7 linked regions of the Macaca mulatta genome follow. The protein of the gene in region 7 interacts with the protein of the main gene of each other region in a pairwise test. Links are inferred from orthologs where the notes say so. Each region holds a gene or a part of one and is shown on either strand. Other genes may lie near its edges. The genes, in order: NSG1, GPR25, TRAF3IP3, GOSR2, CYBC1, GALNT2 and KASH5.

What was found.
Region 1: the proteins of KASH5 (region 7) and NSG1 interact in binary tests that used the Homo sapiens proteins (3 or more experiments, as listed by UniProt). The two-hybrid records come from large-scale screens. The link is inferred for Macaca mulatta from reciprocal best matches to the Homo sapiens genes KASH5 and NSG1.
Region 2: the proteins of KASH5 (region 7) and GPR25 interact in binary tests that used the Homo sapiens proteins (3 or more experiments, as listed by UniProt). The two-hybrid records come from large-scale screens. The link is inferred for Macaca mulatta from reciprocal best matches to the Homo sapiens genes KASH5 and GPR25.
Region 3: the proteins of KASH5 (region 7) and TRAF3IP3 interact in binary tests that used the Homo sapiens proteins (3 or more experiments, as listed by UniProt). The two-hybrid records come from large-scale screens. The link is inferred for Macaca mulatta from reciprocal best matches to the Homo sapiens genes KASH5 and TRAF3IP3.
Region 4: the proteins of KASH5 (region 7) and GOSR2 interact in binary tests that used the Homo sapiens proteins (3 or more experiments, as listed by UniProt). The two-hybrid records come from large-scale screens. The link is inferred for Macaca mulatta from reciprocal best matches to the Homo sapiens genes KASH5 and GOSR2.
Region 5: the proteins of KASH5 (region 7) and CYBC1 interact in binary tests that used the Homo sapiens proteins (3 or more experiments, as listed by UniProt). The two-hybrid records come from large-scale screens. The link is inferred for Macaca mulatta from reciprocal best matches to the Homo sapiens genes KASH5 and CYBC1.
Region 6: the proteins of KASH5 (region 7) and GALNT2 interact in binary tests that used the Homo sapiens proteins (3 or more experiments, as listed by UniProt). The two-hybrid records come from large-scale screens. The link is inferred for Macaca mulatta from reciprocal best matches to the Homo sapiens genes KASH5 and GALNT2.

The regions. Positions count from the first base shown.
Region 1 is NC_133410.1:8,581,506-8,585,290, forward strand, and holds part of NSG1 (neuronal vesicle trafficking-associated protein 1), read right to left. Parts: intron 2,412-3,785; coding exon 2,301-2,411; intron 1-2,300.
Region 2 is NC_133406.1:58,519,939-58,524,290, forward strand, and holds GPR25 (putative G-protein coupled receptor 25), read left to right. Parts: upstream 1-1,328; 5' UTR 1,329-2,284; coding exon 2,285-3,370; 3' UTR 3,371-4,052; downstream 4,053-4,352. UniProt on the Homo sapiens protein: Orphan receptor.
Region 3 is NC_133406.1:67,527,520-67,531,304, reverse strand, and holds part of TRAF3IP3 (TRAF3-interacting JNK-activating modulator), read right to left. Parts: intron 3,473-3,785; coding exon 3,401-3,472; intron 1,079-3,400; coding exon 938-1,078; intron 830-937; coding exon 692-829; intron 1-691. UniProt on the Homo sapiens protein: Adapter protein that plays essential roles in both innate and adaptive immunity. Plays a crucial role in the regulation of thymocyte development.
Region 4 is NC_133421.1:70,166,748-70,170,532, forward strand, and holds part of GOSR2 (Golgi SNAP receptor complex member 2), read right to left. Parts: intron 2,328-3,785; coding exon 2,219-2,327; intron 1,361-2,218; coding exon 1,228-1,360; intron 1-1,227. UniProt on the Homo sapiens protein: Involved in transport of proteins from the cis/medial-Golgi to the trans-Golgi network.
Region 5 is NC_133421.1:92,162,716-92,167,001, reverse strand, and holds the start of CYBC1 (uncharacterized protein C17orf62 homolog), read left to right. Parts: upstream 1-1,245; 5' UTR 1,246-1,371; exon of another isoform or gene 1,372-1,591; intron 1,592-2,942; 5' UTR 2,943-2,980; coding exon 2,981-3,065; intron 3,066-4,061; coding exon 4,062-4,103; intron 4,104-4,286. UniProt on the Homo sapiens protein: Functions as a chaperone necessary for a stable expression of the CYBA and CYBB subunits of the cytochrome b-245 heterodimer. Controls the phagocyte respiratory burst and is essential for innate immunity.
Region 6 is NC_133406.1:18,767,634-18,772,101, forward strand, and holds the end of GALNT2 (polypeptide N-acetylgalactosaminyltransferase 2 precursor), read right to left. Parts: intron 1,300-4,468; coding exon 1,144-1,299; 3' UTR 521-1,143; downstream 1-520. UniProt on the Homo sapiens protein: Catalyzes the initial reaction in O-linked oligosaccharide biosynthesis, the transfer of an N-acetyl-D-galactosamine residue to a serine or threonine residue on the protein receptor.
Region 7 is NC_133424.1:61,841,045-61,844,829, reverse strand, and holds part of KASH5 (protein KASH5), read right to left. Parts: intron 2,438-3,785; coding exon 2,392-2,437; intron 356-2,391; coding exon 291-355; intron 214-290; coding exon 103-213; intron 47-102; exon of another isoform or gene 1-46. UniProt on the Homo sapiens protein: As a component of the LINC (LInker of Nucleoskeleton and Cytoskeleton) complex, involved in the connection between the nuclear lamina and the cytoskeleton.

The sequences.
Region 1 (3,785 bases), on a different chromosome or scaffold from region 7:
GTAAACACACCCCCTGCACTGTCAGCTGTATAAACGTCTTGCACATAAAATTACATACAGAACATAATACTTGACAGTGATAATAAATGCCTATGTTACTCGTTTATGTTACCATACTATACTTTTTAATCAGTATTTTAGAGTGTATGCCTAGTTATTAAAACAAAAGTTTAAAAGAGCCTCAGGGAGCTCCTCCAAGAGGGATTCTGGAAGAAGGCAATGTTATGTTTTGTTTTGTTTTGTTTTGTTTTTAGACGTTGTCTCACTGTGTCGCCCAGGCTGGAGTGCAGTGGCATGATCTCGGCTCACTGCAACCTCAGTCTCCTGGGTTCAAGCAATTCTCCTGCCTCAGCCTCCCGAGTAGGTGGGATTATAGGCGCCCGCCACCACGCCTGGCTAATTTTTGTATTTTTAGTAGAGGGGGTTTCACCATGTTGGCCAGGCTGGTCTTGAACTCCTGACCTCAGGTGATGCTCCCACCTCGGCCTCCCAAAGTGCTGGGATTACAGGCGTGAGCCACCACACCTGTCCTGGCATTGTTATCCTAGGAGATGACAGCCCTGCGCCTGTCACTGCTCCTGAAGACCTTCCAGTGGGACAAGGTGTGGAGGCGGAAGGCGGTGATACTGTTGATCCTGACCTTGTGCAGGCCTGGCTAATGTGTGTGTCTGTGTCCTTAGTTTTTAACAAAAATGTGTTGAAATTAAAAAAAAAAAAATTGAAAAATTTTTAATAGAAAAAGCACATGAAGAAAAATAATATACAGTTGTGCAACGTGTTTGAGCTTTAAGCTAAGTGTCATTACAAAAGAGTCAAAAACTTAAAAGTTTATGGGCCGGGCATCGTGGCTCACGCTTGTAATCCTAGCACTTTGGGAGGCCGAGGTGGGCGGATCACCTCAGGTCAAGAGTTCGAGACCAGCCTGGCCAACATGGTGAAACCCCGTCTCTACTAAAAATACAAAAATCAGCCAGGTGGTGGCGGGCGCCTGTAATCCCAGCTACTCGGGAGACTGAGGCAGGAGAATCACTTGAACCCAGGAGGCAGATGTTGCAGTGAGCCAAGACCGTGCCATTGCACTCCAGCCTGGGCGACAGAGTAAGACTCCGTCACATTAAAAAAAAAAAAGTTTATGAAGTAAAAAGGTTACAGTGAGCTCAGATTAATTTATTACTGAAGAAAGAATATGTTATGAATCGAGTGTAGCTCAAGTGTCCAGCGCTCACTCCGTCTACAGGAGTGCACAGTCACCCCTGGGCCTTCACATTCGCTCACCACCCACTCCCTCACACACCCACCCAGACCAGCTTCCAGTCCTGCACACTGCATTCATGATGGAACTGCCCTATTCAGGTGGACGATTTATCTTTTATACCCTGTTTTTACTGGACCTCTTCTATGTTTAGATACACAAATACCATTGTGTGACAACTGCCTCCATTGTTCAGTACAGTAACATGCTGTCCAGGTTTGTAGTCTAGGAGAAGTCGGCCATACCCTACAGCCCAGGTATGTAGCAGGCTGGGCTGTGTGGGTGTGTACAGTACACTCTGTGAGGTTGGCACAATGATAGAATTGCCTAACAATGCATTTCTCAGGAATTATTCCTGTCACTAAGTGATGCATGGCCAGGCCTCCTCCTGGCTCCGTCTTCTCTTTCCACCCTTATCTCCTCTCCCTTTTCTTTAATCCTGTTGCCTTGCATGCCACTTGTGGGCTTTCTGGAATGACCATTATACATGGAAAGCAAGCATTTCCATGCCTGTAGAGAGCCCAGCACCAGTGTGGCTCCCACGGTGGGACAGGTAGAAGAGGGACATGGGTCAAGAGGGTAGGTGTGCCCCCCAGCCCTGCTCCCCAGTCCCTGCATGGCCTTGGGCAAGGCCTTCCTCTCTCTGGGACTTGGCTTCCCCCAGTATGTCCTCTCTCTTTCATGTGGCGGACATGGTCCCCTCTCCCTCCCTCCCCCAGAGCAATCCGCTGGGACCCGGTAGGTATCACCCTGGGCATTTCCCTGGCTGGGCCCACTTTTGAGGAGGGCCCTTCCCTGGACTGCTGAGGTCAGCTCCCAGGGGCCGAGTCCAGGAGTTTCCTTCCTGTGGGTCTCATGTGTCCCCTGCCTACCTGCCCTGCTCTCCAGTTGAGCCTTCCGCAGGGACACTCCTGACACTGGCCCTCTGCTGCTCTAAGGCCTGTGCCTGGGCCAGCTGGGGGAGACGGCAGGAGCAGCTTTGAGTTCAAGGGAGAGAACAGGGGGTGCAAAGACATCCCAAGGCCTCTGGGGGAAAATGGAGCTTTACCTTGAGGACGAAGCCATCGGGGCAGGCGCGATCATATTTGTACACCTTGTAGACGACCAGGAAGACGACGCAGGTGAGGAAGGCCAGGGCGAAGAGGACCAGCACAGAGACCTGTGGGCAGAGGCGGGACCGTCAGGGGTGGTCGGAAGGCAGCAGGACAGACACACACACCCCGGCACACGCAGGCCCCCCAATACACAGCATGTGCACAGACTGCCTCTGGAAGAACCTGGGGAGGGCAGCTGAGGACAAGAGATTAGGAGCATCACTTTTCACTGGGCAATTTTTTGTAACAGTTTAATTTTTCACCATATTAATAAGTGACCTTCATTTTAAATTAGTTATTTTTAGTACCCAAGGTCCTGCAGAGAGCTCAGGGTACCGATATGAGGAAGCCCCACTGTTGCCCAGGCAGCTCTCGGGCCACTGAGACACATGTCTAAGAAGCGGGGTTGGCTGCCCACTGCCCCAACACGGCCATGGTGCATCAGCTACCAGCCAAGCATCCGCTCAGCAAACGTGTCCTGAGCCCTGGGCTCAGTGCTGGGACGCAGTTTCACACGGACACCAGCCTGCTTTTGCGTGGGGCCATCCTGACAGAACCTCGGCAGCCCCATCAGCCTTTGCCCTTGGTGGTTTCCCGTGTGGTTAGTTAGTGTCCTCAAGGACAGGGATTCGGTTTTCTTCACCATGGTGTGCTGAGCACTAGACAGCCCCAGCACACAGTAGGTGTTCAGCTGGGGTTTACAGATGAACTCATGACAGCTGCAAGACAGCTGGCTTGGAGGGGGACAGCCTGCCCCAGCTGGAGGGCATGGGGCATGGGTCACTAGATGACACTGGACCTGGACCTTGAAGGCACCCGGCTGCCAGGGAGCCTGGCAGAGATAAGAGTATGTCTCAAAGCCAAAACGGGCCGGGTGTGGTGACTCAGGCCTGTAATCCCAGCACTTTGGGATGGCGAGGTGGGTGGATCACCTGAGGTCAGGAACTCGACACCAGCCTGGCCAATGTGGTGAAACCCCAGCTCTACTAAAAACAAAAATTAGCCGGGCGTGTTGGTGGGCACCTGTAATCCCAGCTACTCGGGAAGCTGAGGCAGGAGAATCGCTTGAACCCGGGAGGCAGAGGCTGCAGTGAGCTGAGATCGCACCACTGGACTCTAGCCTAGGTGACAGAGCGAGACTCCACCTCAAAATAAATCAATAAAAAGCTAAAACAGTGTGCAGATGGCCCCCCTCCCGCCCAGAGGGGCAGAGAGAGCGATGAGGCTCCCTGGCTGGGTGGGAGGATGCCGGGTACCAGCACATGGCAGGGCCTCCGTAATCTTAGTCTGAACATGCACAGAGCTGCTCTCTCCCCACCGCCTTCCCAGCAGCCTGGGGGCTGCAAGGGGCTGGGACTCTCCCCTGGCCACATACAGACCCTACAGCCAACAAGGTTAAAGAACGGGGAGCTCTGCTGCTTCCTAAGGCTGCAGTCCCA
Region 2 (4,352 bases), on a different chromosome or scaffold from region 7:
CCCAAATTGCTGGGATTACAGATGTGAGCCACTGCGCCCGGCCTCTAAGACCATTTTCCAAATCCTTCCTGGGGATCTCCGTGTGCTAGAGGGACCCCAAGTGAGGGTGACCTTATGTCCCAGTTTGCCCAAAATAGTCCTGGTTTATGGCCCAGGTTAATTCTCATAGTGCCCCTTTCACTCTCAGAAACATCCTGATTTAGATGATAAATTATTTCATGACTACCTCAAACCAACATCAAACTGAACACATACGCACATGCGCCTCACTGTTCTTGGCAGTTAAGGGGACAGTGTCCATATGGTCCCTAAGCGGAGAAACCCCAGGCTTATCTTTGACTCTTCTTTGTGAGACCTATGATGCTACAATTACCTCCTGAATACATCCTCTCCTTTCTGTTCCCACTGCTCATGATCTATTTCAGACACAAATAATTACAACCTACGGTGGGGTCTCCCTGGCTTGAGTCTCTCCCTTCTCCACAGTTCTGCCAGTGATCTTTTCAAAACACAGATTAATGCCTCCTGACTCCCCATGACCTATAGATTGAAATCCAAATCCCTTCATGATTCCTCCTGCTTCATCTCCTGTCCCCACTTTCCTACCCTAGGCTCTGGGAGACTGCTTGTCCCCTGAAAAGCCCACATTCCTACTCATTTCAGTATACTTGTTCCCTTCACTCCCTCCTCCGAGTCTGACCCTTTCTTCTCTTTTCTGCTGCTCTTATTTGACTTTCAGCTCATTCCTGGGACTGATCTCAAGTGTCATCTCCTAGAAGGCCTTTTCTGATTTAGCTTTCCCGTCAAAAATAATCACTCCCCCTCCACTAAACCCTAAGAGGGCTTGGCTTTTAACATTTACTACAATTTGGACTCCCGGCATGTCGGCCATTGCACATTCTGCTTATGTAACCATCTCTCCTGCCTATGCAATAAACTGCTAAGGCCAAGAATGGCATCTCTCGCAGTGCCTGAAACAGTGCCTGCTTCATGGAGGAGTTCATTGTTAACAAGTCTGAATCGAACAAAATTGATAATCCACCTCAAATTTTCCACACCAGGTTGCCCGGCACATCAGCCACTCATTCCTGGGGACACTGGGGACAGACTCAGAGGGCACTGTGACATCAGTTCCACCACAATATCTTGTGGAAGGGATATCTGCTAAGAAGAATTCAGATGTAATTGGCTGCATGCCTCCTTCAGGAGGAAGAGCAAGCATTCCCTCCCCCATCCTCTCCTCCTAAGGGCCCACCGCCCACTCAGGGTCAGACTTCATTCCCCCTCTTCTTTAGGTATCCTCCCCTTACTCTCAGTTTCTCATTTCACAAAGGATCTTGCTGCCTCCAAGCTCCTGACTCATAATTTAGGACAACTAATCTGGTGTTTCATTAGGTGTCATCTTTTGAACTGAGCTTACATCTGCGTCTGGCTTAATAGATAGCTTTTTTAGGCTGGGAGAAGACAGGGAAGAGGCAGATGTGAATCCCAGGCTTGGCCCCTGTCCAGCAGGATGATCTGACTACACCCCTTCCTAGATGCCTTAAAACCCTTCCACTCCGCTTCATGAGGACCTGTTTGGGTCAGAGAAGCCACTCACAGGGTGAAGACACAAACCCCACATTTCAGGATGCTAACAACGGTTTGAGTGCCCAGGGCGGGCTCCCCGACCCACCCAGATCTGCTGTGTCCCGGCAGTGGACTCTTTCCTAGGGAACAGGTGGATTTGGGGGGGGGGGGCGTGCCTTAGGCCCCATACTCATAAAATCCCCTGTCTTCTCCCCTCTAAAACAGAGAAAACAGCAGCCGGTGGGTGCAGGTGGGAAGGGGTGAGGTGGAGGCTGAGAAGAGATTAGGGCTCTCTGGCACCCACCACCTCTTGCAACACGACCCTGAGGCAGTGGGGCAAGTATCCCGATTTCACGAACAAAGAAACTGAGCAACTAATAGAGGAATGGGCCACGCTCCTACTGGGAGGCGGGGCAGGTCTCCCAGCCCTGAGGACTTTTCCTCCCAAGACTTAGTTGTGAAGCCCCTTTTGCCTATCCCAGCCCTTACCCCTCGGGTCAGCCCCAAATCGGAGGCCACCATCTCTCCCACAGGAGCCTGCCCCTCCCACCCCATCCCCTCCTCCCTCCTGTCTTTCCTGCCCACCCATTTGCTCGAGCTGGGGTGGCAGGAAGGGAGGTGCACGACACGGGCATGAAGAGCAAACCCCCTCCTGCTCAGAGCTGCTGCCGCCTGAGCCCAGGGCTGCACCCAGCGCAGGCCTCGTGGCCAGGCCATGGACCCCACAGAGCCCTGGAGTCCCAGCCCGGGGTCAGGGGCCTGGGACTACTCGGGATTGGACGACCTGGAGGAGCTGGAGCTGTGTCCGGCCGGGGACCTGCCCTACGGCTATGTCTACATACCTGCACTCTACCTGGCGGCCTTCGCCATGGGCCTGCTGGGCAACGCCTTCGTGGTGTGGCTGCTGGCCAGGCGGCGCGGCCCACGGCGGCTAGTGGACACCTTCGTGCTGCACTTGGCGGCCGCTGACCTGGGCTTAGTGCTCACACTGCCGCTGTGGGCCGCGGCGGCGGCGCTAGACGGCCGCTGGCCGTTCGGCGAGGGCCTCTGCAAGCTCAGCAGCTTCGCGCTGGCGGGCACGCGCTGCGCGGGCGCACTGCTGCTGGCTGGCATGAGCATGGACCGCTACCTGGCCGTGGTGAAGCTGCTCGAGGCGCGGCCCTTGCGCACCCCGCGCTGCGCGCTGGCCTCGTGCTGCGGCGTCTGGGCCGTGGCGCTGCTGGCTGGCCTGCCCTCCCTGGTCTACCGGGGGCTGCAACCCCTGCCTGGGGGCCACGGCAGCCAGTGCGGGGAGGAGCCCTCCCACACCTTCCAGGGCCTCAGCTTGCTGCTGCTGCTGCTGACCTTCGTGTTGCCCCTGGTCGTCACCCTCTTCTGCTACTGCCGCATCTCGCGCCGCCTGCGCCGGCCGCCGCACGTGGGTCGGGTCCGGAGGAACTCGCTGCGCATCATCTTCGCCATCGAGAGCACGTTCGTGGGCTCCTGGCTGCCCTTCAGCGCCCTGCGGGCCGTCTTCCACCTGGCGCGTCTGGGGGCCCTGCCGCTGCCGTGCCCCCTGCTGCTGGCGCTGCGCTGGGGCCTCACCATCGCCACCTGCCTGGCCTTCGTCAACAGCTGCGCCAACCCGCTCATCTACCTCCTGCTGGACCGCTCATTCCGAGCCCGGGCGCTGGACGCGGCCTGCGGGCGCACCGGCCGCCTGGCGCGAAGGATCAGCTCGGCCTCCTCGCTCTCCAGGGACGACAGTTCCGTGTTCCGTTGCCGGGCCCAGGCCGCGAACACTGCCTCGGCCCCCTGGTAGCTGCCCCGGGCCGCTGGAGGTGGGCGACAGCGGAGCACCGAGAGGAGGGGAGAAGTCCCGGGAGGGGACCCAGATGCGCCTGTTCTGGCGGCAGCAAGCTGCTCCGGCCGGCATCGCATTGCCTCGCGCGCTGCCTGGACTCCCAGGGTCTCCTCCATCAGCTTCCCCGGAACCTCAGAGCAATTGAACTCCCCTAAACCAGGCTCCTGAGACTAGCTGTTCCCTGTCAGCCTGCAGGGTACAAGATAAGTGCTATGAGATGGAGCAGACAGCAACTCGGAGACCCGCAGATTCACCAAGAAGACAGAAGGGAAGGGGATTTCCTTCTCTGCCTCATTGGGAAGAGCACTGACCAGAAATCGAACCCAGACCCCTAAATGCCATTCTGGTTTCTGGCTGTGCTTTCTCCCGTCTCCCACAATAGCTTTTGCTTTCAGAGAAATACCTTCTCCAAGTCAGGCCCTCTGCCCTTCTCACTCACAAAACCCTGGTGTTGAATCTGGTGACACTTCTCCCCCTACGAAGCGGTAGGACTCACCTGGAAGTTGTTCTGGTCTTTCCCTCTCAACAGAAGGTCCTGAAATCGCTCACCAGGCGTTTCTTAAGGTCTCCACCACTCAGCCAGGAACCTCAAAATCTTCTCTGTGAATTCATCTTTCTCAATAAACAGACACTCCTGCTAGCCCTGTCTTCACAGTCGTCTTTGCTTGCGCAGTGGGAGTGAAATGCGTATCAGGAGGCGGGTCGCACACTGGGTGAGACAAAACTCAACACAGTAGTTGAGGTTGATCTCAGGATGATGAGGATTTGGGGTGGTGTCTGGGAGCTGAATGCTGGCTGCACTCTGCAGGTGCAGTAATCCCATAGGAGGAAGCAAATCATTTATTCTTATTATTTTTAAGGACATTTCACATTTTGAAAGCTACAGAAAGAAAATATATTTATATAAGGGCATCTGCCAGCCGGGTGTCACTTCTGAGAG
Region 3 (3,785 bases), on a different chromosome or scaffold from region 7:
TTTGAGGTGGATCCTCAAAACTCCAAACCAAGTAAATAAATCTATGCAAAATGATAGCTAATATTTACTGAGTGCTTTTATGTGCCAGGCATTGTGCTAAGTACTTTACATGGATCATCTTACTTAATACTCAGAACAACCTTATGATGTAAGTACTATTATCCTCATTTTACAGATGGGGAAACCGAGTCTTAGGACAGATTGAAGATGATGGAACCCTTGAGGATGCCAGGAGTCTAATTGTAATTGCTAAATGTAATTGCTTAAAAAACACATTGGCAAAAAGTGTTAGTTAGTACTCACCTGTAAATAAATTAGTGACATTTTTTCTGTGCCAACAGTGGGCAATTCTGAACTGGATGCTTTTTTGGGATGGAGTTTGGAGAGTGGGTTGGGATATGACATTAGTAGGCTGATATATATTCCAGCCAGTTCTTTTCATTTGGATGGTGATGGTGTCATTCCAATGAACGCTTAGTTCATTTGCATGAGCAGTGCAGACATCCTTGCTAAACTCGAAATTAAATTTCAGAGCCAAAACAGTGAATTTGGTACAAAGTAGGTGGTGACTGAGGAACTGAAAGCCAGATGCTGTCAGCTGCCTTTGGAGTCCCTAATCCAGAAGAGCTTCTTCATCACCACCCCTCCTCCCCATACCCTGTCTTCCCTCCCCACCCCCAGTGCCTGGTACCTGCAGTTTGGACTGAAGCACGTTGAGTTGGCTCTCCAGCTCTCTGTGCTGGGACCCAAGGGTCCTCCAGTCCTCCTTCAGAGCCTCGTACTGGCTCCTCCACTCTTCACACTTCTGCTCTGCCAGGGCCAGGGATCGCTGAGGGGGGTCAGAGAGGAGAGGTTCCAGGGAGCTGTGCAGCTGGCTCCCTTGTTCCCCAAGCTGCCTGGAGTCCCCAACCCCAAGGTCTGTGTGGCATCCCCATACCTGTGTGCTCTGTAGTTGCTGCTCTGCGTTCATTTTCTCCTCCAGCACTTTCTGCAGTGACTCCTTGGCCTTCTGCTCATAGCTGTTTTTCTGGTCTTCCATCTCCAGTAGTACTTTTTTCATTCCCCAAGGGGAGTATTTCTGTAAATTTGATGCAATTCAACAAATACACATTGAACTTCTGTGTGCCAAATCCTGAACTGGGATACAGAAATGAAAAGAAGTTGGTTCTTCCCCCAGGCAGAGATACCAGTAATCTAGTGAGCCTTTTCTTTTAGGGTAGAGCTAGCAGGGAGAGTCCCTCAGGCAATGAGAGATGAGTGGGGGGGTATAATAAACAGTGCCCTAGGCTTGCTGGGCATTATATCTGAGGCCTTCCACAAGCTCTTGAAATCCAACATGTCTAAACAGGACTCATGTTTCTAAACAAGTTCTTTTTTCTTGGGGTTCCTATCTCAGTGACCAGAATCATCATCCATCTAGTCTTTTCCAAACCCTAAACCAGGGAGTCAATCTTCATTTTCTCTCTCATTTCCTTCCAGTAATCAGTTGGTCATTGAACCTTGACAGTTTCCTTCATAGTTCATATCTGTCTCCTCTCTATCCCTACTGCTGCTTCCTTAGTTCAGGCTCTAGTAGTAGTGTTATGTGGATTAATGCAACAGCTTCCCTTTCTTCAAATCTTGCCTCCCTTCAGTCCCTTTTCAGTCCCGCATTTAGAAGGTTCTTTCTAAAATGCAAATCTGATCTTGCCACTTCCTGCATAAATTCTCCATGGATTCTCAGCATCCTAAGAATCACATCCAAACTCCTTGTCATGGCTCCACTTACATGCCTAGACTTTCATCCCATGCTACTTCCACCTAAGCTGAGATGTTTGCAGATCCCCTAGCACTCTGTTTTTTTGGCTTCTGCCTTTACCCATATAGCTTCTTCTGCCTAGAACTGGTTAACTTCTACTCACACTCAAGATTCAGTCCAGTATCATCAGTTCTGATAAATTGACCAACTGCCCCCATCCCACAATGTCTTATAGATTAGGCAGCTTTTCTTAGTGTTCATAGTGTTCACATAGTGTACCCTGCATGCCTCTATTATTCTACTCTGTTGACTCATCTGTTTTTCCTACTGGATTGTAAACTCCTTCAGGGAGGGAGCATACTGCTGCTGCTTTAAAAAAAAATCACTGTAGCTTCTCTACAATGCCTAATGAACTTAATGGTTTAAAATTAATACATTCGCGTTATAAAATTCCTCCTGGCTGCAGGATTAAGGAGACACAAGTGCAGCTTTGCACATTCACTGGGGGTCTTGCCTTCTCCCTTTCTTTCATCTTTGTGTCCTGTGATTTCGGAGAAGGCAGGCAGATTTTACTGTCAATTCTGGATTACCCACTGTGTAAGCAGTAGACCAGATGACAAAAATTTAGGGATCAATATGAAATCATTTCCATTTAGCTTTGGAATTGTCTGAAATTTTGGATTTAAATTTGAGTGGGTCTTATAGTTTTGGAACTTTCATTAAAAACTAGATTCAGGAATTAACCTGGTTGAGGTCATATGTAGGGGATGTCCCAGTTATTGGACATCCAATGACCATCCATGCTGGGCACTGGTTATGTGTTATTCCTTATTGAAAATGAATAGATTGGCGTTCTGGATTATATATTGGTCTCTTGTGAACTTGGTTGGCATTATTTAGTCCTGTCAAAGCAAGTCATACTGAATAAATGAAAGTTGTGGACCAAGAAACTTATAGACTCCATAAACTCTCTTCCCCTGTGAGACGCCATCTATGTGGCCAACTGTCTTCTCTCTCTAACTCCAGATGGGAGAAGTCTGCCTGTTCCGCCCCATTCTCTTATTTGACATCTTCCCACCTGTCAGGTATCCATCACTTCTCAAATGTGAAAGCTGATTTCTTTCTATCTCTTGTAAACCAAGATTAGGCCAATCAGGAGATTACTAATGCTGGAAAATGGTGTTACAGAAGAGCCAAGTAAAAGAGCTTTTACATTCTTCTAGGGGTTGCTAGAAAAAACAAAAAAAGTTGCCCATGGAATGAAAATCATTTTCTAAGACTTCGTTATAACATCTAACTCATCTGTTCAAAGATTAGGATGTGTAAAGATCTGTCTGGGTGTTGTGAATCTTTACCAAGGGCCTTTCCCTACAGTTTCAGGTATTCTCAAGGTTCCCCTGGAGCTGACAAAGTGGTTAGTGCTGGGATTCCTCCAGGGTGCAAAGAGAAGGATACTGGGAGAAAGGGAGAGGAAGAAGGATGGAGACAGTGATCTAGTGAATTAGAGACTAAAGTGAAAATGGCCAAGCCAGAACTGGGTAAGTAGGAATGGGTGTGTTATTCTCTATCTGGTGGCATTTCTCAAAAGTAAGATTGAGGTTCAAGCATTCTTCACATTTAATTCTAGATTCCCGAGACGGAAATATCCTTCAGAATGCTTACCTGGGTACAGGTGTACAGCTGGTTTTCTAAGGATCTCAGTTTCCCCTTCAGTTTGTCTTCATTAAGTTGTCCCTGGAGCAAATGGGATGAGTTAATGAGTGTGGGCCAAAATCTAGTCTGCAAAGAGTTTGACTCTATATTCCTATCCTACTGCCCAGCACATGGTTGATGCTCAAACAGTGAACTCTTTCAGGAGGCAGGCAGGAGCAAATATGACAAAGGATGCTGAATAGAAGAGGATCTTCTCTTCTTTCTCTAGACTAGGACAAGAAAGAATCAGACTGGCCTCAAGTCCTCTTTTTACCTCCATTTTTATCAAATGGCTCAGGGTAGCATAGCAGGGGAGCCCTGGAAGGAAAGCTTCTAAGCTACCCTTTCGCTCACT
Region 4 (3,785 bases), on a different chromosome or scaffold from region 7:
TCAGTTAGAGACTTCTCTTCAGTAATTTGACAAACACTTACGAAATGCCATTTACATACAAATCTTTCTTACCCTCCCATCTAAAACAGTATGGCTGATGGGCCATTACCTCTCAGAAAAATGTATTATAGCTCCAGATGGTAGAATGACCAGGAAGAAGTTTCATCTGGCAAGCCAATGTTTATTAAGAACTGACTGTATGCACAGCATCACACCAGGCTAGCAGAAAACAAAATAATCCTAAGCGATCATCCCTGGTCTAAAAAAGGCCTGAATACTACATTATTAACGATCTAAAATCCAACCATCTTTTAGTGTGTCTTATAGTTCATTAAATTTTTGAACTGTTAAACACTGTGACTTGACTGCTTAGTCTGGGGAAGCAAAACAACGTTGGCAGAGCCTGAAACACTTGGGGAAATTTACTGCAAAGCAAGGATGCAGCATTGAGGGTTAAACATCTACAAAGCGGGAAATGATGTGAATTTTAACAACAGGCTTAGAAAGCTAACATCTCTTTAGAAAATAATCCTCTGTAAAAAACAACATACAAAAAGCCAAAGCACACTTCACTTAGTGGAATATATTATGCAGGACACAGAAAAGGCCAGTCTGTTCTACAGCCATGTGCAGGAAATGATCTGGTTAAGACTAAAGGGCAGGGACAATGGGTTCTGAGAAATCAAACGTGCACACCAACACATTTTCAGACAGACTCAGGCAAGCAGTCCGTCTAACCCTACACATCCGTTAACAAATTCCTCCAAATTGCTGCTCAGACTAGGGGCAAAAACATTTTAATGCACCTGACACTGGAACCACACACATACTCGGCACAACGGCAACTGCCCGCAGGCAGCTTTGAAATACTGCCTTCTCTACAAATGGCCTAAGTTCTAATCATCTGTCTCTATCTGATCAGAAAAACGTTTCCACTATGTGAACTTCCACCTTTCTGTCTCAGACCAGTCCAACCAGGTAATTTTCACCTCTGCCTATTCCCCTTCAATTTAACTGCTTCCTCTTCAGGTTTTTGTCTTAGAAAAAGGGATTCTCTGTCGAGGTCTAGTCTCTGTGGCAATGCACAAAGTTCCCGTCATTTCCAGTTGGTTTCCTCATCACCAGTCTTCTTCAGATACCCCCAAAACAGATGGCGCTCAGAGATCTGAACTCCAGCCCCCACAATCTGCCAAATGCAGGCCGACCCTCACCGCAGGCCTGGCTTACGTTAGTGGTGAAGGTTCGAGACAGAAGCTCTTCTCGCTGTCTCTCCTGCTGCTCCCTTGCATGGCGCCGATGCTGGAAGTTTCTGAGCGCAGTCTGCAGGTGCTGGACATCATACTTTAACTGGTCGACCCGACTGGAATTGATGGAGAGAGAGATTAAATTCCAGGAACTCAGGGCAGCAGAGTCTCAGGGGGCCAGGCTTTGTATTCAGGAAAGACAGCATTTCCTTACTTCTCCCTACACCACCCCATGCTATACCCCACCACCACAAGATCTGATTTTGATCAATGATGTTGAAAGTAAAGAAGTAACGTGTGGTTAAAGCGAGATGGTAGCACACAAGCTTCTGGCAGCTTTACTTCAGAATCTGTTGCTCTCTGATTCTGGATGCATGACAGGGAACAGGGGACAGGAAGCAGGCTCGCTGACCTCTTCTTGACCTTCTATGGATTATATCGCTCTCCTGGAAGAAGCCCAAGGGCATCTTTGAGGTAAAGCATCCACAAAGTATCATAAAACTTTTGGAAACAGGCACTGGGGGTGGAGTGGCAAAGGTGGTTTCATTTTAATTTCATGGTGGAGTATCAAACATTAGATCAGCATTTCATTATGGGTGGACTGATTCAAGTGATTTTTCATTTCAACCCAAGAAGAACCCAGCAGGAACCAAAGAGCAGAACAAAACTCCATGGCAACATTAGGCTTCAGGTGGCCATGGGTCTAGTCAGAAAAACAGAACTGGAGGCAAAATTTCAAAATGACACCAAAGGGGTCACAAGGTTTCTGAGTCACAAACCTCACAGGCTATTTATTTTGAGGAGCATTACTCAGATACAACTGTGCCCTTTGGGGGGGCTTTTTCTTTACGTAGTCGTAGTTTTTCAACATGTACGTGGGTTTTCAGAATATTCTATCGCCTCCCCCCCGCCAGGAGAAAAGCCTATCTTGCCGGGCCTGGAGTAGCAGTGCCATGTCAGAGGTCAGCACTTACAGTTTGGCATTTTGCCTTTTGTTAGGGGGCTCCTTGCTGGACAAAATCTCCAGACGTTCTAGACGGCTGAATATCTGGTCTATGCTTGCTTGGATTTCGTTTTCTACTACTGTACAAAAAAGAAAAAAGAATAATTGCTGGAAAAGAGATAGTGAACTTAAATTAGAATAAATTACAGATTTTTTTTCAATATCCAATAAACTAGAACTACATATTTCAAAAGGAGAAAAATGTATACACTAATGAATAACAGAAAAAATTCAAATTATGCCGTAAATGTTGTTTTGAAAAAAGTACATGTATATAGTTGTTAATGACACAACAATGCCAATTTTTTTAAAAAGCTGAAGGTAAATCTGTAGAAATAAATTTCCTACCTTTAGAAAATAAACATGCAAAGGTTGTACAAATAAATACTTTAAGCTAAATTTTCTGATATAGGTCTCTTTTCCTTTGGATTTCTCAGACGTGGATTATAAATACCTAGTAAAAAGACTGCCAGTTGAATTCCCTATAGTAATGAGTTTTTTTTTTTTTTTAATTAAAAAAAAAAAAGCATAAAGGAAGGGGAAGATTAGTATGTGAAACATACAGAGGAGAGCTCCCTTAAGGCTTTCTGTAAGAATGGGTGGGCTGAGCAATGTTGACGTCCCCAAAATAGACCAAATATCAATAGGAAAGGCCCAGGAAAGAATCCACAGAGGTAAAGAGATATGATAAATACGGTCATTTTCCTTATCTCTTTCGATAAGACAGTCAAAATGACCTCTTTCCATTTCTAATCATGTAACAAGATTGCTGAGAAGGCAAACAAAGTCCAATGAACAAAAAAGCTAAACTGTGCACAAAAGAAAGCATCCAGACTGCTTCTTGCCCCATAAAGAAGTGACAGCAGTGACACTGCCCCTTCCTAGGCCTTTGCGCCCACAGTAAACAAAGACAGCTGAGATTAGAACAAGGTGGGGCACAGAACCAAGAACAGAGCTGCTTTTGAAGCTGTGAAAGGAGACGTGAGAGAACAGGAGGAATGGGTCCGGAGGGAGCCCAGCAGTGGGGTGGGTAGGCAGTCCCCGCAGGTGGTGTCCATATGACTGACTCAGAAAAAAGATCTTTCCTTAGAATAGAAAAAAAAAAAAAACACGAAAAAAAACCCAAAAATCCAGCATGCTTCTCAAAAGAAACCATGCTGTGGGAACTAAACTAATTAATATTGCTGTTCGTTTCTGAATAATCCTCCTTAAAAGCCACAGTTCTCAGCTCAGAAGAAATGGCCAATTCCAGTTAAACATCTCTGAATTTTTATGGAGTACATTCCTCTAAGGACTAGGTAATTAGATTAAGACAGATGGAGGCAAGCGCTTCCATTCCCATAGGGCCATGTCAGGTTGAGTGGAGGGGTAATGGGGGATAAGACTTGTGGGATTCCAAAGGGCACACTCAGGGAAATCAGTGATTTTGCCATAGGGTTTTTCTGTCCACCCTAACAACAAAACTCATTCCACGCTGAATCATTAAGCCCCCGAGGCAGAGTGCAGTCAGGAAACCCAGCCCATTAGCACCCTGTCAT
Region 5 (4,286 bases), on a different chromosome or scaffold from region 7:
TTACTGTGTTAGCCAGGATGGTGTCGTTCTCCTGACCTTGTGATCCGCCCGCCTTGGCCTCCCAAAGTGCTGGGATTACAGGCGTGAGCCACCGCGCCCGCCCGGCAGGCTCAAGATCTGTTTTAATGTGAATGCTGGTCAGCTGTCTGCTTGAATTCCAAAAGGGAGGAGTGAGTAAGGTATGTCTGTCTCTTCCTTCCCATCACTGCCTTAACTAGTTTTTCAGGATAACTTTGGAATGCTCTTGGCCAAGAGGAGGGGTCCATTCAGATGGTTGAGGGTTTGAACTTTATTTTTGTTTTACACCCGCAATTGCTGACTTGTATCCTTGTAGAATCCTTTAGTACAGTCTTGTCTTCCAAATTTCCACTAATTCACTTTAGAAACTTGTTCACTTTCAGCTTAAATTTTTTCTGGCAAGACTACTTCATGGATGGTGTTGTGTACTTCCAGTATCCGACCTTTTTGCGATGTTAATTAGCAGTCATTGATGACATTGCCCAGGTCCGTTAATTCATAAGGTGATGTGTTAATCCTACTGTTTCTTCTTCATTTATTAGCGGGAAAACTTCTATAATCAGACATTCTTCTCATGCAGTATTTGGTTACTCTGCTGTAAATTTCATAAAGGCAGGACAAATGCTTGATGCTTTCCTTTTATTAACCAGGCCACAAACTGGGGAGAGCTTGCCAGCATCCTCCAAAAGTGAACACAGTTAAAAAATACATTATTATGAATTACAGCCTGGAGCACCTCAGGATTTTCAATTCATTGGAATTACTGTTCTTATTCATGCTCAAATCTTCCTTTTTGGCAATGAGAACCGCTTCAGTTACGCTTCTATGTTGGGAAGACGCTCATAGGCTTTGGTAAGTTCTTTGCTTTCGGATACGTTTCCCCACACGTTTCTCTTTTCCAAGAAAACCGGTTCCTAGGCCGGGCGCGATGGCTCAAGCCTGTAATCCCAGCACTTTGGGAGGCCGAGACGGGCGGATCACGAGGTCAGGAGTTCGAGACCATCCTGGCTAACACGGTGAAACCTCGTCTCTACTAAAAAAAAACCAAAACCAAAAACAAAACAAAACAAAACAAAACAAAAAAAAACTGGTTCCTTTAGCTGGAACCACCCGACTCCTCCTGTGGCTCCGCCCGGGTCCCGGAAGTCCGTGCAGCCCGGCCTGCGATCCCGGAAATCCGCTCGGCTCCGCCCCATCCAGGAAATGCTTGCGGCCCCGCCCCCAACCCCGGAAGTCCGCGAGGTCCCGCCCCCGAAAGTCGGCTCCGCTCCGCTCCAATCCCGGAAGTCCGCGCGGCCCCGCCCCTGCCGGTTCGCGTCTCTCTGCTGCCGCGCGGGGACCGCTGTGCTCTCGGTAGGCGGCTGGGCTGGGTGGGCTCCGCACTTCCTTCCCGCTCCGTGCCGCGCGTCCCGGCACCCTGGGGCCCACTCCGGACGGGGTTTGCGTCCTGGACCCGCTTGTCGGCTGCTCCGTGTCCCGCCCTGCCCGTCGCGGGCGGCCTCGCGGCTGTTCCGCTGCAGGTTGGCCACGGCGGCGGGAGCGCCCTCGACCCGGACAAAGAAACGAGCGCTCGGTGCGACCAGCGGCGCGGGCGGCTCTGCCACCGGGCGTGTGCTTGTGTGTGTGCATTTGTGTGGAATGCCGGGTGTGTGTGCATTTGTGTGTGGAATGCCGGGTGTGTGTGCATTTGTGTGTGGAATGCCGGGTGTGTGTGCATTTGTGTGTGTGCATTTGTGTGGAATGCCGGGTGTGTGTGCATTTGTGTGTGGAATGCCGGGTGTGTGTGCATTTGTGTGTGGAATGCCGGGTGTGTGTGCATTTGTGTGTGGAATGCCGGGGGTTTGGGGAGCAATGCGGTAACTGAGGCCCGGGAGGGAGCCCAGTCATATACCAGCATCTAGGATTGGTTTTGTGATTTGAACCCACTATTTTTTATTTTTTTGAGACACGGTCTCACCCTGTCACCCTGGCTGGAGTGCAGTGGCACGATCTCGGCTCACTGCGGCCTCCACCTCCTGGCCTCAGGTGATCCTCCCAGCTCAGCCTCCTGAATAGCTAGGACCACAGGCGTGCACCACCACACCGGGCTAAGTTTTAAATAGTTTCTCTGGAGACGGAGTTTCACCACGTTGTCCTGGCTGGTCTCGAACTCCTGGACTCAAGCAATCCGCATGCCTCGGCCTCCCAAAGTGCTGAGATTACAGGCATGAGCCACCGTGCCCAGCCCGAACCCCCTATTTAATGTCAGAAATTTGACTTCACAGGGAAAGCCCTGAGAAACTGCCAGAACGGGGTCCCTGGGGCCAGTGTTCGCAGCGTACTGTGAAGTGGCAGGGCTGTTGCAGTCCGTGCAGAACCCGGTGTGGAAGATTAGCCCCTTTGGTGACTCGTCGGTTCTGGCCATTTTAGGACGCTCCACTGTGCAGTCTGAACTTTCAGCAGGTGGAGGAAGGCAGAGAGAGAGCTGAGACTGTTGGTCTATGCCAGTACAAGAGCCAGTACGGCCTGAAGCCATGAGGGGACTTTCAGTTCCCTTTCTTGGTGGAGGCCAGGACAGGGGAGAGGGGGTGCTGACAGGTGCTAGAAGCTCAGAGGCTGCTGGGGGCTAGCGGCCTCCTCAAGACATTAGGTTTCCAGATAGGATGGGCAGGTGGTGATGCAGCTGTAGCTCGTGAGTCTGAGCGGGAAACAGCCCCCGTGCAGTCGGTGTCACTGTGAACGGAAGAGGGTCTTCCTTACACAGGAAACGGGGTCTCTGGGGGATCCAGTGATGTGCCCGACCACAGAGAACAGATCAGACTGGCTGATGGTGTCTGGGGCTGCAGGTGACTTAGTTGGGGGACCTGCTCTTGGCCTCCAGCCTGGGCCTGATGGCGTGGGCACCTGCCTGTGTGCAGGGCTCAGCTGCCTCTGTCTGTCCCCAGGCCCCTCCTCCTGTAGAGACTGGTGCTGCCTTCTCGGGATGTACCTGCAGGTGGAGACCCGCACCAGCTCCCGCCTCCATCTGAAGAGGGCTCCAGGCATCCGGTCCTGGTCCCTGCTGGTTGGTAAGGCTCTCCCCAGAGGCTGTCCCTCCCCAGAACCCCAGAATTGGAAGCCTGACTTTCAAAAAGGATGAAAATGAAACACAGTATTTTCTGTTTTTTCTATTACCCTGAAATCGAACAGCTATTTTGTTTCTTTGTATCCATTCAAATTTTATCCTGTGTACTTCGTTTTACAGATAATGCACATCTATTTTGTCCCCTTTTAACCACTAACACCCAGAGTATTTAATACTCTGTGAGCTTTTCTGAGGTCACCGTATTTTCCTTTGTACTTGTTTTGAACCGTGTGATGGGTGATCGTGGGTTCCCATTTCTTCTCTTCCCTGATCCTCAGACCTCCTCATAGGACTCACAGTCCACTTAGCCTCCTGTCCTCCGTCCCTACTCACCAGTAGGGTCCTGTACCCTTGGGGATAGCTGCACTTGTGTTGACGGGACACCGTGTGAAGAGTGGTGCTGGCTGTACCTCAGCAGCTGTGTCTCTGGGGCCCACATTTTATGTGACACGCCACAGCCTCCTGTGTGTTTTGCGTGGCACGCTGCGTTGTAATTCTTTGTGCACAGTCTTCAGGCCTCACCACGGGCTGCTGGAGTAACACCCGTGTCAGTTCTGGAGCCTCACATGGCGGATGTGTCCAGTAAATACTGTGAATAGTGTATACTGTGTTTTGTTTTTGTTTTCTTTAGTGATGAGGTCTCGTTAGGTTGCCCAGGCTGGTCTCAAACTCCTGGGCTCAAGCGATCCTCCTTCCTCGGCCTCCCAGGTAGCTGGGATTACAAGCGTGTGATACTATGTCCAGCTATACTGCATTATCGAACCAACTTCCTGGCTGTTTCCCCTACTCTGAACCTGGTGGTCTGTAACCCCTGACCACAGCTGTTCCTATAGTGGGAAGGGCCTGCTCATCAGGGGCTGTGGCTCCAGGTCCCGCTGCACCGGGGAGGAGGTGGGGTCTTACCGGGATCAATAGGCAGGCAGTCCCTTTCTCTTCACAGGAATCTTGTCGATTGGCCTGGCTGCTGCCTACTACAGTGGAGGTAAAGCACCCCCTGCCCCGCCCCCCCATGACTGTCTCAGCTGTTTGGAAAACAGAGAAAAGAAGGGAAAACGGTCCTTTGTGACTGTCCATGGGGCAGCCTTTAAGATCGGCATCTCTGCCCCTTGATTGCTGGTGGGCACCGCGCCCCTCCACGCACTGCTGTTCTTCCGCACGCCCATCC
Region 6 (4,468 bases), on a different chromosome or scaffold from region 7:
ATGAGGCCAATGCTAGCGTGTGACAGCTGCCTGGCATCATTGGTCTGCCCTGTCGCCAGGGGGCAGCGGTATCGCTGGCTCACATTGGGAGCTATGGGGTGTTGTTTATATTCCTTAGAGAAAAGAAATTTAATGTAAAAAGACCCAAAGTGATATCTGTCAAAATAAGTAACCCCTCCAGGTTCACAGATACACACAGCACACAAAGTGGATTCTGACGCACAGTAGTGACTCTCAGGCTGACTGACGCCCAACAGGGATGCCGGGGCCGAGGCCGGTGGTCTGGAGGAAGCCCCCACAGCTGGCCACAGCAGTAGCACCAACTGGCTGATCGGGCTCCAGGGGACAAAGGCCACTTCCTCCCTCCGTGAGAACCTGGCCCCACCGGGCTCTGGCCCCTTCTCCCGGAAGCTGCGAACGGCTTTGTGGGGAATTTACAAGATGATGATGACCTACAGAAACCATAGGGAACTCACCGTACATTCTTCCTACAGAAACCATAGGGAACTGACCGTACATTCTTTCTCTATATAGCTTTATATTTAGCGTCCCACCTTAGAAAACTTCATCCTCAGAGATAGCAAGTACATCAGGTGGAGGGGAGTCTGGACCAGGAAGACACTCGGGAACGGAGGAGCAGAGAGAGGGGCTATCGACGTAAACCTGCCACGTGACACGACTCGGCTTTGTGGAAACCATACGTGATTTCGATGGGATCGAAAATGGAGATTTCAAGAGTTCTCCTCGCTCCCCTGGGCGTGTGTGCCCCCTCCTCCCGCCCTGCCCTCAGCTCGCATGCGTCTGTTCAGTTGCCGCTTCTACCACTCCCCGGTCGGCTGTTGCTGGATGTCACTCAGTTGCGGAGCCGGTGGAAGTGAAAGCTGGAAGGAAGAGGGGCGCTCCGGCCTGGGGAAGGGGGCCCAGCTGGGCTGCACCAAGAGGAGGGGGAGGGCAGTTCTCGCTTCTTGCCGCTGTTGTGTCTGCACAGTCGTCCGTGCCTTGCCGAAGTTCGACTTTCAGACCATGATGGAATACTGAGGTATATTAGTTTCGCGGAAAGTTTAAGAAACATAATCAATAATGTGATCACCAGACTCCACCCGATGGTGCAGGAGACAGGACGGCAGGGCCTCCCGGGCCCTCCTACTGCTGCAGGTTGAGCGAGAACTTCCACTGCTGCGAGAGGGCTGGGCCGCACACCTCCACGCTCAGGCCCCCGCTCTTGGCCGTGCGACTGTCCAGGCACAGGTTGCTGCCCACGTGCCTCAGCTTGGAGTTGCCTTCGATCTGTTCCCATTTCTGCAAGACACAGGAGAATGCCTTAGAGTGTGGCCCCAAGCAAAGGAGTACAAACAGATCCGTGTGAATTCAGGGCCTTGTGCTGCTGCTGGGGGCCCAGGAAGGAAACGTATTCTCTGCCTTGGATCAAAACTCAGAACCTCTCTTGCCCCAACCTTTCTGTGGGTGTCCCCTCCTCTGAGCCCCAGCACTCTGGGCACCCACCCCTTCGTCATTAACACAAGGATTTGATGTAGGGGAATTTGCATGCCTTCATAAGAAAGCTTGATCCAGTGATGGTTCACCCCAAGAAGAGAGCCACACAAAGCAGAGCCAGCTCCTCCCTTGGCTGCTGGGAAGCAGCCCTGCCTGGAGGCCTTAGTCTGGGCACCTCCATGCTCCCACTTAGGGCTTTCTGCTCGGGGCAGCCAGAGGAACCATGTCAGGCCAAATGTCAGGAAGAGAGATGCTTGTGTGAACAGAACATAGGGTTGAGAAGCCTATTTCTATGCGGTCTGTTCTCTACTGGTTTGTATATGTGGTGTGCAAGCTCCTTGGTGGATATGAGAAACTTGTCTCTGCTACCCTTGAGGCCCCTGGTGCTCTGTATGGCGGGGACCAGTGTTTGCTGAGTTCTGAACATGCCGCTTGTAAAGTATAGGGTACGATGCCTCTTTACTAACACTCAAATCAAGCAAACAACCAAACTCAACCCACGCACCCGTTACCCACCAACCAAGCCAGAAATCAAAGCACACAACCCAGCCTGAAGGAAATCTGAGGAGCCCTGTTTATAGCAAGTAACATATATACCCCTTTCAGCCTGAGTGCGGGCAGCTCACACCAGTAATCCCAGCACTTTGGGAGGGAGGCTGAGGCAGGAAGATAGCATGAGGTCAGGAGTTCAAGACCAGCCCGGGCAACATAGCAAGAATTCATCTTTACAAACATTTTTTTAAAAAATTAGCAGGGCATGGTGGTGCCTGCCTGTTGTCCTAGCTCCTTGCAGGCTGAGGTGGGAGGATCGCTTGAGCACAGGAGTTTGAGGCTGCAGTGAGCTACGGTCATACCCACCCCTGCACTCCAGTCTCAAGCAACAGAGCGAGATCCTGTCTCTTAAAAAAGAAAAGAAAGGAAAAATCCCCATTTAAAAATCTCTAATGTTTGTTCTTAAAAAACAAAAAGTAACCATTTTTTTCCTCCTCAAAGCTCGTTTCAAATAATGAAGTCTGTGGTTCTAATTAATTTTTTATACTGTGTGCACTAAAGCTCCTTCACCTAAGTATTTTTTGCAAATCCTTTTGACATTGCAGAATTAAATTTTCTCACTCTTGCCACCCTTTTCTTTTTGACTCTGCAAATATGCACATAATATGAAAACATGGACGTGCCTGGAAACCAAATATTCCAACTGCAAAGCCAGTTCAGCTCCAAGATAAAATTTGTAAGGAGCTTCCTCTCGAGGGGCCAGTGAGTGAGGCAGGGAAGAGCCGGTGCAAGCAGAGGAGCCCAGTGCTGGGGACCCGACCTGCGTGAAACACCACAAGGATGTTGTCGCCTGGACCCTGCCTGCCTTATTTCCATCCACCTGCTCACCTGGAGTTCTTGCCAACAGGGAAAGACAGTGCAATCAGAGGAGCCAGGGGAGGCTTTTGCTAAGTGCCCATCATTTCCTCTTTCATTTCCCGCTCCCTCGTTTCTGTCAATCACCCCTCATGCTGTTTCTCTCCATTATCATGTAAAGTGTGTATTGAGGCTGCCCTGTCACTCTGAGCGGCCAGGAATCTTCTCAACAAAGAATTGGGAATGAACGGAATCTGATTCTGGCCACTGGAGGGACTGCCTGTCATGTGTCAAAGCATCAGCTAAATGAAGAACCGTAGAAAAACAATAACCAAACCCCAGCTCCGTCTCACACAGGTGGCCTTGTCGGCTCTGATGTCTGTCTGATGGGACTGTGGTGGCGGGGGTGCAGCACAGATTTTCAAGGCAGCCAGACCCTACTGAAATGGCCCCCACATCCTCTATAATAGCCTGAGTCTTGGGGTTGAAAACCTAACAGATCCCCATTTAGACACGCCATACATCCAGAAAAACTTCTTATTGATAGGTCTTCTCATGCTTCACGAAGGTCCTAAGGCATGTCAGTTATGGTTCCCCAAAACTGGGACTGAAGCAGAAACACCTGTCAGTTCTTGAAATTAAGCAATATTGAAGTAACCATTTGTTTTTTAAAAAGGTGTCATAAAGTCATCACTTTATCAATCCGTTACATCCAGACAGCTCTGCTCCGTTACATCCCAGGGGAATGTGTTTGAGACTCACCCAGTACTTGGCTCAGCAGATGCCAGCCTTGCCCTCGAGGAGCTTCCTCTTGAGGGGCTAGTGAGGGAGGCAGTTTCTAGGTGGTTTGGGTCCAAGCAATGGTAGCCTTCTCTTGTTTGACAGGCACTCCCTTACACATTTTGGTATCAAGTCATCAATACAGATGGACATTTAGAGATGTGGATTATGACCAGAACCCTACAGAGGGGCTCCCGCTGCCAGGAATCTGGGACTCCACAGAGCAGGGAAGGAGGAGCACCCAGAGCTGGCGCAGGGGTTTGGAGACAGACAGGTGAAAGAGGGCCCTCTGCAAGCATCTCCCTGACAACTGGGGTCTGAACAGGGGACTCGGTCCTGGCCTGGTCTTCCCAGATGACTCTAGGTTGGAGGCAATGACTTTCTGAGCCTCAGCTTTCCGTGCTGTGAAATTAGGGTTGGACTAGGGTTAGCCTGAGTCTTGGGGTTGAAATATATACGTGTATATATATACGTATATATACACACACTTGGCTCCAGTAGGCTCCGAGCCTCAGTTTCCCTACATCCCATCTATCTCTAAGGACCAACTGTAAGAACAGGGGCAGGCATTCCAAGTATGGGCATGCTAGGACGACCTTTTGTGCTTGCATTCCTGTTCTTAACACTGTTACCCCATGCCTTGAGAAAGCGTGTGCCCACAAGCTGCCACAAGGGAATATGTCAGAGAAAACCAGCTTAGAAGGCAGGTAGAAAGTCTATTCTGAAATGATTAAAGAAACTGTGTTTATATGTGTGTGTGTATGTGTATATATGTGTATACATGTGGTGTGTATATATGTATATACATGTGCTATGTATATGTATATATGTGGTATGTATATATGTA
Region 7 (3,785 bases):
CTGGTGGGGAGGTGGGAGAGCGTTTAGGGGAGGGTCCGGGCAGCCCCTGCTCTTCCCAAGGTCAGACCACCTTCTTCCTTCTGGAGATGCCTGGGGGCACACCTGAGCCGCTGTGGGGGCAGGCAGAGCTGGCCCCAGGGCCTCCTCCTCACTGGGACCAGCTCTTTCATCACAGGCACCAAGGCTTGCTGGAGTTCCTGCTGCGCAGGCCTGCTGGGGGAAAGGAGGGAATCACTACTGGGTTTTTCCTTGTCCCCAGTTTCCCTCCCGGACCCCGTGGGTCCTATTACCTCTCTGGAGGGCTTTCTGGGATGTCTCCAGGGCGAGGGTCTCCTAGAGGCATAGGGAGATCAGCCTGGGAGGACAAAAGAGATTCATTTGAAGCACTGGGTTCTGGACTGAGAGGTCCTCAGGTCAGCCCACTGGACATAAGCGACCACACAGAAGGTGGTGGAGCTCAGGAGTTAAGTGAGTGCACTTCTCTGAGATGCGCTGCCAGGTTGGGTTCCCAGTTCTGCCAGCCTCTGGCTGAGGGTCCTTGGCATGTCACCACACCTCTCCGTGCCTCTCTTTCCGCATCTGCTGGCCAGGGATGTCCCCACCTCATAGGGTTAACATGGTGACTAAATGAGTAAATGTGGGGGGAAAAAAAGGTGGGGGCAGTAGCTTGGACAGCGCCTGGTACCTAGTGAGTGCTCCGTGTCTGTGTGAGCTATTCAATATCATCACCTCCATTTTCCACTGGATTCTGGAAGTATGTAAGCTCTCCGAGGGCAGAGACCACATCTTCCACAGGTGCCCACCCCTGTGCTGGCCTCATGCAGAATCCTGTCTTCCTGCCTATGCCAGAATCAGCAGACGCTTTACTAATTAAAAACACGCCATTATAGGCCAGGCGCGGTGGCTCACGCCTGTAATCCCAGCACCTTGGGAGGCTGAGGCGGGCGGATCACAAGGTCAGGATATGGAGACCATCCTGGCCAACATGGCAAAACCACGTTTCTACTAAAAATACAAAAATTAGCTGGGTGTAGTGGCACGTGCCTGTAATCCGAGCTACTCAGGAGGCTGAGGCATGAGAATCGCTTGAACCCAGGAGGCTGAGGTTGCAGTGAGCTGAGATCACGCCCCTGCACTTCAGCCTGGCGACAGAACGAGACTCCGTCTCAAAAACAAAAACAAAACAAAAACACCATGCCATTATAAATGGCATAATTACAAATGTATTGTTCTCATTGTTCATGGTTGCTATACTGAAATATGATTGATTTTTTATTTTGACCTTTCACCCAGCAACTATGCTAAATTCACTGATTAATTCCAACACCTCATCTGAAGATTCAAAGATCAAAGCCCCAGCTGTCCCTCCAGGGTTAGGCCCCACTCACTGTGCCGCCTCATCCCCCATGTCTCCCTGGAAGGGCCTCACCTCTATGGGTCTCTGGCCTTCCTACCCCCACACCTTTTCGACTCAGATGAGGATGATGAATGACAATAATAATGGCAGTAAATAAAAACAGAACACCGATCACAATCAATATGTTCACCTTTACCACCTGCTGTGCCAGGCAGGGACCCAGGCCCTTTATGACGTGGTCCTTAACCCTCCTCCCCACCCTAGGAGCTAGGAAGAGATTATCCCCGTGTGAGCTGTGAGGAAGCTGAGGTGGAGCCCAGTCTCTGCAAGGGAGTGTGGTATGTCGAGAGGAGGTGGGCTTCGGGGCCAGGGCGCTGGGAGCTAAGCGTCATGGAGGCAGCCATCTTGGCCAGTTTGGACCCTGGAGAGCCCCAAGGGCCCTGACAGTGCCTGACACACAACAGGCAGACTCCAGCCCAGCTCCTGCCTTCCTCAGCTCAGAACCGAGGGCTCCTCACCTCTCCTTACCGAGTTTCTTTCCCTGTCCTTGCCTGAGAACAGAAATCCTCACCTCCACCGGGCACTGGGCTCTGAGGAGCAGAGGAGCTGGCCTGTGTGGCTGCAGGCAGGGGGGCTGTGGGCACTGTGCCCCCAGGGAGTTCTGAGGCTGGCTGGGGAGGGCCAGCCCAACCTCTCCCGAGTGTGGGCACATGTGCGTGTGCATTTATGCAATCCGGGGGTGCAGCCATGTCTACAAGGCCTGCGGTGTGGTGGCTGCAGCCCTGTGTGTGTGGCTGGGGGGCTCCCCTGGGAGCAGCCTGGCCGCCCACCAGCCTCCAGGCCTCCCCCTACCTCGCCATAGCTCTCATTAGCTACAGCAAGGGCCTTGTTATCTCTTGGCCAAATGATTTTTCTCTCTGCTCCTGAGGAGTTGGGGTGTGAGGTTGGGGCTTGGGAAGAGTTGAAATGAACGACTCAGCCTCTGCGGGCTTGGAGTGGATGGGGACTGGGGAGGGGTGCTGCGGACTGCCTACCGTGACCTGGCTCTCTGCATCCTCCTCTTCCTCTCTTCCGGTCAACCTGAGGGCCAACAAAGTCACTGCTGGCATCGTCCTCTCCTCCCTGGTTCCCTTTGCCTACTATGGGCTGGGAGGGAAGCCTTGGAGCAGGGTCTTAGCACAGGCCCGGGAGCATGGACAGGCCTGGGGGAGGCCAGGCAGCATGGACGGGCCTGGGGGAGGCCAGGCAGCACAGATGGGCCTGGGGGAGGCCAGGCAGCATGGACGGGCCCGGGGGGTGTCCTGCATATGTGTTTTTCACATGAATTTTCAAAAAATGATCCAAAGGGTCTGTGCCCACTAAAAGAATAAGGGGGCCTCTTCATCTCAGAGTGGTTTTCTCAGCCACTACTTCCCCAGCGGATCCCCCAGCTGGGAACTGAGGCTTCCAGCTTTCTCACCCTCCAAAGTACCAGAGATTCAGGCCTCTGTAAGGCCCCAGAGCACGTGTTGAAACGCCCTTCCTGTCTAGTGGGTTGAGCCATTTTTCAATGGCTGTCACTGGGTACTGTCTGAGGACTGGGACTCCAACTCAGACCTCCCAGCCCACAGAACCCAACTGCTGGAGCTCTTCCCCATGCCCAGTCCTCTCAGGTGTGCAAGCCCCTCTTCCAGGAGGACTGAGGGGTCAGCATGCCACTCATTCACTCATTCACTCATTCACTCACATCTTCCAAGGAGCAGACCCTGGGCCTATGGGCTGGGAGATGAGACCTGGCCCTGCCCTCAGCGAGTCTCAGAGTCTTGGTCTAGGAGGACATCTGGCTCCCAACCCTGCCTCGGGGGAAGGCTCCTAGGGAGGCCCCTCCTAGGGTCATAGCCCTCTGAGTCCCTGAAATGCTGCTTTGGGGACTCAGGCCTCAAGCTGCCCAGCCTGAATGCCCCTTAGAGACCCAGCCATCCACACCACCAGCCACTGCCTTCATTGGGGAGCAGAGATTCAGCCCTGCAGTTGCCACTACCACCAGCTTCAGACCCAAAACCCTCAGAGATACCCTCAGGAATACAGCTGTGCTCCCACGCAATAAGGGATCCAGGCTTTTAGGCCCCAGTCAGACATACACTGTCTGATCCCCTGAAACTTCTACTTGGGACCCAACCCCTCTCAAGGTCCAAGTCCTCACCACTGGCTACCTTTAGGGGCCATTGTATTCACCAGCTTCCTCACTCCCAGCTTTCCAACCTTCGGATCAAACAGCCCCTGCCCTCTGGAAACTCGGAAACTCGCATGGCACTTGCCTCCCCGACTTCCACTACTGCTCAGCCCCTTCTCCCCTCCTTTCTCTGGTGACGCAAAGGGAGGTCATAGCTCCAGAGCTCCCATCCCGCCCAATCTCAGCTCTTCCCAGACAAGTCCAATTAGAGGCCTT